2 linked regions of the Drosophila melanogaster genome follow. The protein of the gene in region 1 purifies or fractionates together with the protein of each later gene. This does not show direct contact. Each region holds a gene or a part of one and is shown in the gene's direction. Other genes may lie near its edges.

Region 1 (5,742 bases):
CACATCAACACAGTGTCCAAGCGCATTGGGCAATTGCAGAAACGCTACGAGAAGTGTATCGACCTGTGCCACCAGATTGAGTGCCTCACTACCGAGCAGCTGCTGCAGTTTGTGCGCCGTATAAATGATCGATACAATCGAGCTGTTACCGAGCCTGGCACAGCGGTGGGTGCCATTGCTGCGCAGAGTATTGGCGAGCCGGGCACCCAGATGACGCTTAAGACTTTCCATTTCGCTGGTGTCGCATCGATGAACATCACCCAGGGTGTACCACGTATTGTTGAGATTATAAATGCGACGAAAACCATATCGACGCCAATCATAACTGCCGAGCTGGAGAATTGCCATAGCATGGAGTTTGCGCGACAAGTCAAGGCGCGCATTGAGAAAACCACTTTGGCGGAGTTGTCCTCGTACGTTGAAGTCGTATGCGGACCATACAGCTGCTACCTGGCGATCGGTGTCGATATGGCCAGAATTAAGCTACTCGGCCTACACATTGATCTGGACACAATTGTATTTAGCATTCTGAAGTCGCGCATGCGCGTCAAGCCGACGCAGGTGGAGGTTGTTGCCAGCCAATCGCGCATTGTGGTTCGTGTGGAAGCCACGCGAACGTCGACCATAAATGCAGAGTTGGCGCGCCTGGCACTCAGTCTGCAGAACGTCGTAGTGGCGGGCCTGCCAAATATCAATCGAGCAGTTATTGCTGTCGATGATGCACGGCAGCCGCCCACGTATAAGCTGTGCATTGAGGGCTATGGACTTCGCGATGTCATCGCCACGTACGGTGTGGTGGGCAAACGCACCAGGAGTAACAACATTTGCGAAATCTATCAGACGCTGGGCATCGAAGCTGCCCGAACCATCATTATGAGCGAGATCACCGAGGTGATGGAGGGACACGGTATGAGCGTCGATTGGCGCCACATCATGCTCCTGGCCAGCCAAATGACGGCGCGTGGCGAGGTGTTGGGTATCACGCGACACGGCTTGGCCAAAATGCGTGAGAGTGTCTTCAATTTGGCATCGGTAAGAAGAGATTTCACTATGCTAAGCCGTACGTATGTATATTAATGTATTTCTTTTTTGCCACGTCAGTTTGAGAAGACGGCGGACCACTTGTTTGATGCAGCTTACTATGGCCAGACGGATGCCATCAATGGCGTTTCGGAGCGCATTATCCTGGGAATGCCAGCGTGCATTGGCACTGGCATCTTCAAGTTGCTACAACAGCACGAGGACAAGCAGGTGCCACCTATTGAGCCCACCATCTGCAGTTCCCTGAATCTGTTGCCAAGCAAAACCACATAAGAAGCGGGCCTTCTTGACGTTATACTTTTATAACTTCATTATTGTAAATAAATAGTATATACATATTTGTTCTGTCTAGCTATGTTAAGCAAATTTACCTAGATTGTACTTAGCTGCGGAAATTAAAGATGGTATTTCTTATATTTTGGAGCTTTGATTAAATTCGATTTAAAATTGCTGATGCAAATAACGAAAATATTATTATTAGTAGTATATTCAAATTTGAATTAACCGCGCAGTTCACATTCCGCCGTTCCACATTTGCTTATGTTCAAATTGCCACGACATGGTCACACTGAACGCTTGAGTTTATCAAAACAACGTGTTGTTATTAAATTATGGTTTTGATTTCTGACGCATTCGGTCTGGAAATATCCCCAAACGGGATCCTGGTTGGTATGTATATTGCCAAAACCTTGCAACGCCCTCTAATAAACATCATATACACAGGTCATGGCGATCAGGCGGTGTTATATAGCTCAGAACCCAAAGTCGAGTTGCCGGTTCAACTGCGTGAGGGAAAGGTTCGAGGATTTGCGTGGAGTTCCTTGCGTAAATCGCAAAGATTATTATTGCTATATAGCGAGAACGAATACTCCCTGATTAGGTGTACAACCAGCTCCGAAAACGATCTCTTTCAGCTCGTTTACGAGGGCGAAACCAGAGATTGGATTAATGCCGCTCTGTTTTTGGAAGATGAAAACGAGTCGGAGGATCGCAAACGATTTGTTCTTCACACATCGCACAGTGCTCTCCTTTATATGGAATATGATCTAACGTCGAATGCAGATTGCACTGTCTTGGAGCTGGCTCGATGCACCGACAGTTCCATACTCTATTACACGAAACTCCATGGGAGTTCCTTTAATAAACTGGCCATCATAAGCGGTAATGCCTTTGGAGAACTTTTGGTATGGCAAACGCAGTTTCCCACAGAATCCGATCCAAAATCTGTAATGAAAACATATCCCTTGCTCTTGCGCATTGAAGCGCACAATGGAGTGATACACTCAATTGAGTTTGACTTGCAGTCGCAGTTATTGGTTACCACATCGGATGATCGTTCGGTCAAGTTTTGGAATATACAAAAGTCTGGCGACTGGACAACAGCTGAAATAAAGCCCATGTTCAGTTGTTACGGACACAGTTCGCGTGTTATGTGCGTTGTTATACTTAAAATCGGTAAGATTTGCTTGAAATATGACTATCTTTCCTAATTTTTTATAACTATCCTTGCCATTGCAGATGACCGTACATTTGTGGCCAGCGGCGGTGAGGATTCGTACGTCTGCATCTGGAGTTCATCTGGCGAATTAATCCTAAAGCGTCGTCAGCAGTTCGGCGCGCCAATTTGGAGGCTAGGCTTCAGCCAAGACGCGGAAATCCTCTATAGCACCAGTTCAACGGGTAATTTGGTCGGGCAAAATCTTAAAGAAGTCCTCAATCGACCCAAAATTGAATCCACCATATTGAGCAGTCTAGGCGATGCAAATGAGTTCGTGCGAAATCTAAAGTTTGTCAATAATGAGATAATTGTGGGTTTGAGTAGCTTAAACCGCTTGTATTACACCCGAATATCCCCGGATTCTTCGCATGAGAACAAGTGGCTCATGGTCAATGACTTTCCGTCGTACAAACGCACTGTTTTGGAAGTATTTGATGACATTATAGCCACCTGTGGACATCGGCGCATAACACTGCATAGGTATAACACAAATACAAATGATTTTGAACAACTATTCGATGGCATTAGGATGAAGGGCACTATACGGTCATTTCAATTCCTAAGCAGAGATCGCTATCTAGTGTCCGATAACTTGGGCTACTGTCTGCTACTGCAAACCCACCAGCTGCATATAGAGTCGCACATCGCACTATTCAATAACCGCGAGCCGTGGATAACTGCGGCCCTGCTCATTTCAGAGCAATATCTATTATTGGGCAACCGCGAGGGACATGTGATGCTCTACTGCCGCAGCAGTGCCAGCGACGACTTCCAATTGAAGGACTCAATTCGGTATTTACACGGTAAAATGGGCTCGAACTTTTTTAAGTTGCTCAGTCTTAATGCGGACAATGCGCATGTGATGAGTGGTGGTCATGAGGCATTTTTAAAATACCTTAGTGTGAGATTCTCTGACTCAACACTACGTGTTAGCCAACGTGAGGGCATTCCATTGGCTTGGGTCGAAGCATCTCCATCGGATGACTTGATTTTGGGCTTCAACGACAATCACATTGTGGCCTGGTCCCGACGAAATGATATCCTCTTGCAATTGGCCTGCGGCGGAGGCCATCGTTGCTGGGACTTTCGACTGAGTGATGGTGATAGTCAACTTTCCATTGCGTATGTGAAGCAAAAGCGTGTGTACTTCTATCGCAACTCGCTCTACAATGCCGTTGACAATCGGCTTAAGGATATCGAACCCAATAACTGGCACGTACGAAATTGCAATACCCTTCGACTCATTACGCCGAGAAATCAATCCGATCCCTTTATCCTTTCCGCTGGCGATGATAATATCATAAAAGTCACCCAAGTGACCAATGACTCATTGTCTCAGCGTGCGGAAATGCACTCCCATATCTCAACAGTGCGAAGTTTGCAGGCGATTCCATACAAATCGAATGGCGGCGACTCAAGTACTTGGCTTGTTTTCTCCGTCGGCGGACGATCGCAATTGTGCATTAGCCAACTTAGCATAGATGCGAGCAATAAATGCTGGATAAGTGAAATATCCAGCCACACGCTGCACAACGTGGCCGCATCCAAAACGAGTACCATTGAAGCGCGACTAATGGCCATAGATGTTGTCCAGCATTCGGATGGGGATCTCTTTTCAATATATGTTGCAGGCGGTGATGGAAATATAAGTCACTATATATGGGAGCTTGAAACCCCCAACCAACTAGACCTAAAACATTTTGTAGACATACAAAGATGTCCACTGGGCATTCAGTGGATTGCGAGCAAGGGAATGCTGTTGGTATCCACAACAAATGGCGAAGTCTACGGTTTTGATCGTACCCTAGAAACGACATATTTTCAGCTTCAATTGCACGTAACTGGTATAAATACCATTGATATATATGTGGATAGGCATCTTTTACACATTCTATCCGGCGGGGATGATGAAAGCATTAAGTACACGGTACTCAATTTAAATAACAATAATGTAGAACAAAAAATCGAGTACTTGGGTCTTCACAATGCCCAAGTTAATGCCCTGGCAATACATTGTCCTACCAAAAGTGTCGCAGCATCCGAATTGTTCGCCTATACCTGCAGCATAGATCGTCAGATTTATAGAATAGATCTCAGTACTCATAAATATAAGCGAGTTGGTTATACGTGCATAGCAGACGTGAAAGGAATGCTCCTGGATGAACATCAGCGAATGTATTTCTACGGATGTGGATTGCAGACTATGAGCATAAGTAATATACTTTAAGAGAATATCCTTCGTGTATCATTGGCACTTTTGTACATTTGTTATGTTGTCTAGTGTTTAATAATAGAAAAGTGAAACTGCCTTATCTGTCATTTGTTTAGATGTAACTTTAGTGGCGGCAATTTTTGTATTTGTTTTTAAATAAATGTGAATGTAGAGCCTATTCAAATGCCTTGCCAAATTTGCCATGTCTTTTGCTTGCTGGTTTGGAAGAACTTTCAAAAACAAAAACACAACAAGCTAGTCTTAATTCTGTCGCTTGTTTTGCCTGTGATGTCGTCCCTTTTTCTGCTATTCATTCGCTCATCGAGTGATTCAAATATGAGAGACTACTCGATACGAGCAGAAGCCGAACTTTTGGAGTTCAGCTGGAGCTCACTCATTGGCAAAATCCAAGAGAGACGCGCCAAAATGGCAAGTAAGCAGCGAAAGTAAGTAGAACCGTACTAATATCTTAGATATTGAAATGGCTCATATCATTCACTTCATTTCCGCCACTTGTAGTTTTACAACAAACGTATTCATTCCGGATATTCGAGTGGCATTCGCACCCAACTCAAATGCTGCACTGCGACGGCTGATGGGCGATGCCCTGGGTAAACTTTCCATGTCCGAAGATAAGATTGTCGACTTTGAGAATTGCAATGATATGCGCATCCACGCCGCCTCCGAACATTATTTGGCAAGTGTCTGCTTCCGGAATGTGGATGAGTCACTAAATGGTCTGCCCACCGTGCTGAACTTTGCCATAATCATGCCGTCGGAGTTGCGCAACTACGAGGACACTTGGATTGGGGACAGCTGGAAGGAAACCACTACGCTGATGGATCGTGATGTCGCCGAGGAAGACGAGTTCGACGAGGATGGCTACACGGACTACATGGGCGAGGGTTTCGTGCCGCTGCAGTACCACATCAGCATGCAGTTCCTGAGAGCTACGGCTTCCAAGGTGGAAAAGTTACCCAAAGTCGTGATG
Region 2 (3,755 bases), on another chromosome or scaffold:
ATCTTGGATTCTATATTCCTCGTTGCCTCGACCTCCTTTTGCGACAACTGCTGCGTAACATTGTGTAGCTCTTGTATGCGACTTAGTTCTTCTCGCAGACGATTGTTTTCCACGATCTACGACACAAACGAACAATTAATCGAACCTTATAAGGTAATTTATAGATCTTACATAGTCCTGGGCCTTGCTCTCCAACTGTAGGATCCTGAAGTGCAACTCCTGGTCCTCGGTAGCATTCAAACCATCGCCCTCTGCTGCTTGACGCTTCCACATTTTTGAGGCCTTCTCCAACTGCTCATCGTTCTGCTCTGCGCGCTGCAAAAACTCGGCCTGATCACGCATGATCTCAGCAATGGGCTTAGCCGGCGGAGAAGGACGGGAAATTCCCTGTTCATTAACGCGAGTGGCCGCTGGCTTGTTGGCCCGATTGAAGTCTGGACGCGGTCTGAAGTCCTTCGCACTAATATCCTCCTTCATGGTGATGTCGTGGATTGAGGGATACTCGATATCATCGATGGTCTCAATGTCGTTGTTGTTCTGCTGCGGCGCCTGCACACTGGGATTAGTGCAATGGGTCGGGTACATCATAATGAAGTACTCATAACCGCCCTCGACAATTTGAATGGGTGCGCGATACGTCACATCCGGATCCCACTACCAGAAAATAATGATTATATGTAATCTATGGCTAAATACCACCCATACTCACGTTCTTCAGGATGTCCAGAAGGGTTGAAATGGCTGTGTTGGTCGCCGGTTGGGCATCTTTGGTGTTCCAGTCCATAAGAACCACCGAATCCTTGACGGAACGCGATGCCCACGACGCCTTGGCGCTGCTGCTAAGACGAGCCTGCAATCTGCCAGCCGACATTCTGTGTAAATCCAATAAGTTAGTATCCAAATAGCGAGATTATTATAATGGACAACTCACCCTGGCGTTATCAACTCCTCGGGCACATTAAATGCACAGTAGTACGTGAGGTGGGAGGCCTCGTAGTCGGCGCTTGGGCGACAGTCCATAACTAGGACCGATTTCTCCTGCATGCGCCGATACAGATCCTGACAGGTTATCAGCCCAAGTCGGGCGTACTGCGTTGGCTGTGTTATCGGCGAGTCCACACCCGCACGCCCATTGCTAACCAGGTCGGGAGCAATTGGTTCCGGCGCTTGGTGCTGCTGAGCATAACGATGCCGCAGAGAGTTGATAATCTCCTCCAGCGTGTCCATAATGCGGCGATTCGACTCGGTGTCGCCCAGCATCTGGCGCACCGTCGTCTTGTGGCTGGGGTAATCGGATTTTTTGTGAATTGCGGTCAGCATATTGAAGTACTTCATGTAGGTGATGTAGGCCAGTTCCTCGTCGCCATCCAGTCTGTACTCCTCGGCGGTCATGTACAGTTTGCGGGCGGTGTTCAGTAGGCTGCGAAGAATGCCAGGTAAATCAAAACAGCCGCATCAGCACCAAATCGCGGTGTCCACTTACATTTTCATGCCCTTGCTGCGCAGATCCGGAATGATGGACATCTTCTCCAGGTCATCAAGGTTGGAGCTCATATGCAGTTTCTTCAACTTGGCCATTATTCGTTTTTTGTTGTCGGGGCGGGCTACGTTGAATTTGGGAATCGGGATCTCGCCGATTTTCCTGTTCTCATAGCAGGAATTTCTCAATCTGCGGGCTGGGCTGCAACAACACAATCATTTGTTATTTTGCATGAAATTTATCGATAACAAAGAAATAGGATGGCGCTGTCAGAAGTGCAAATTTAGATTGTGCAAATTTAGCCATTTAGCTATTAATATTGAAAATCCAACTAGATATGTATTTTAGCTGTACGTGTTTTATTTCAAATAAACAAATTCAAATATAATGAATATGTAACTCAATATTATGAAGATTAAAGCTAAACTACATTTTGTAGCTATTTCTATGGATTTGGAAACAAAATTGATTCTTTTTCCTAATCTACCATTTAAATATAAAATTATATTTTAACACAAAATGAATGATATATATTTTAAAACTATAAATTCGAGCTCACACTTGCAAACTTTTTAATGTTTTTAATACCAATAAACTCCCAAAGTTGAAGGGAAAACGGCTAAAACGACAGCACTGTAGATGTCGTATCACAGCTGATACCCTTTTGTTTTTATTATTTTTAAATGGGCAGGACTTCGAAGGATAAACGAGACATATTCTACCGCCTGGCCAAGGAGCAGGGATGGCGTGCACGAAGTGCTTTCAAACTGCTCCAGGCGGATGAGACCTTTCAGTTGCTAGAAGGTGCAGATCCAACCGCGTGTTTTTCGGAGCGATTCTAATTGTCCACTTATTTCAGGTCTCACCCGAGCCGTGGACCTTTGCGCCGCTCCTGGCAGCTGGTCACAGGTGCTGGCCAAACGCTTGTACGAGCCTCTGCCGCCAGAGGAACGGGAAAAGGTAAAGATCATCGCCGTAGACCTGCAGGGAATGGCTCCGATCGAAGGAGTCAAACAACTGCGGGCGGACATCAGCAAGGAGTCGACAGCCGAGGCCATAATTGAGTTCTTTGGCGGCGAGAAGGCACAGATTGTTGTTAGCGATGGCGCTCCCGATTCTACTGGAATGCACGACTTTGACTCGTACGTTCAGGGCGAACTACTTCTCTCCGCCCTCAGCATATCCACCTTCATACTGGAAGAGGGAGGCTCCTTCGTGTCCAAGATCTACCGGGCAGACAGGACCAGTCGGTTGTACACTCAGCTCAAGCGGTTCTTTAAGAACGTATGCGTGTTCAAGCCCTCCGCCTCGCGCAACTCCAGCATTGAAGCCTTCGTGGTGGCCCGAGAGTTTTGTCTGCCCGATGGCTACAAGCCTTGCAACCTGACGACCGAATGGCACGATCAACCCGAGTCGTGGGTGGGCAGAAAGAAGGAGAGCCCGCCCGTGGTTCAAGTTCCCTTTGTTGCCTACAAGGGCGAGTTGGACTCGGATCGCACATACGATTTGGTATGTTAATACTATATCTTCGTTTGGTTTAAACCACTAAAATGTTTTGTTTTAGGGCGAGAACTATGTGTATAAAGAGCCAGTGCAGCAACCCTTGACGGCCGCCTATCAGGACATTCTGCAGAAAACGAGCCAAGTGAACATAAAATATGAAGGCATTCGCGTTATTCACGATGAGGAAATGTTGAAGAAATGGCTAGAGAATGATGAGAATAAGTCTGAGAAGTTAGGTGCCTGTGTAACGTAAATAAAAGCTTTAAAAAATGAAAAGTTATGAATATGAGTGTAAATTCTGGTGCATCTCAAAATGTATCAAAACTTTGTTGCTCGCGCCACAAGCACCGCGTTCAATTTTTATTATTCCGATACATAACAATATAAACTTAACTCTTATCCTTACGCCGAGCGGTTAACTCCACTATGGGGATCACCTTTTGGTTTTGTAACAGTTAGTAACTACATCCCTAATAGTAATCAACTTATGCAATCAGAGTGCGGTTTTTACAACGTCATAATCTTCTCCAGCTCTATTTTTTCTTTGTTGGCCGCTGCTGTCTTGCGAGCCCGAGCTCTTTTCTTTTGATCCACCTTACATCGACGTCGAAATTCTCGAGTTTGGGCTTCGCTCCACTTTTTTAAACGTTGCCGTCTTACTGGAGCTTGTCTGGAGGGCTCTGGTATGGGCACCACCACCTTTCGACGCTGGACAGAGCGACCGTTGGCTTTTGCTGGAAATGCACAGGGCAGTAGATGGAGCTCCTCGTGC

What was found.
Region 2: the proteins of CG33172 (region 1) and Trm7-34 purify together in Drosophila melanogaster (affinity purification with western blotting, with the first as the bait; one study listed by BioGRID). This does not show direct contact.

The regions. Positions count from the first base shown.
Region 1 is NC_004354.4:15,768,059-15,773,800, forward strand, and holds CG33172 (uncharacterized protein), read left to right. Parts: upstream 1-1,605; 5' UTR 1,606-1,652; coding exon 1,653-1,710; intron 1,711-1,764; coding exon 1,765-2,496; intron 2,497-2,559; coding exon 2,560-4,766; 3' UTR 4,767-4,927; downstream 4,928-5,742. Other genes in the region: Polr3A (RNA polymerase III subunit A), read left to right, coding at 1-1,032, 1,102-1,314; CG43672 (uncharacterized protein), read left to right, coding at 4,935-5,197, 5,271-5,742. UniProt on the Drosophila melanogaster protein: Together with methyltransferase Trm7-34, methylates the 2'-O-ribose of nucleotides at position 34 of the anticodon loop of substrate tRNAs.
Region 2 is NT_033777.3:21,132,234-21,135,988, reverse strand, and holds Trm7-34 (tRNA methyltransferase 7-34), read left to right. Parts: upstream 1-2,107; 5' UTR 2,108-2,163; coding exon 2,164-2,284; intron 2,285-2,339; coding exon 2,340-2,989; intron 2,990-3,044; coding exon 3,045-3,236; 3' UTR 3,237-3,255; downstream 3,256-3,755. Other genes in the region: Usp8 (ubiquitin specific protease 8), read right to left, coding at 1-116, 172-654, 710-872, 932-1,420, 1,484-1,578; Ice2 (uncharacterized protein), read right to left, coding at 3,491-3,755. UniProt on the Drosophila melanogaster protein: Methylates the 2'-O-ribose of nucleotides at position 34 of the tRNA anticodon loop of substrate tRNAs. May require WDR6 for methylation of the nucleotide at position 34 of the anticodon loop of substrate tRNAs. Plays a role in neurogenesis.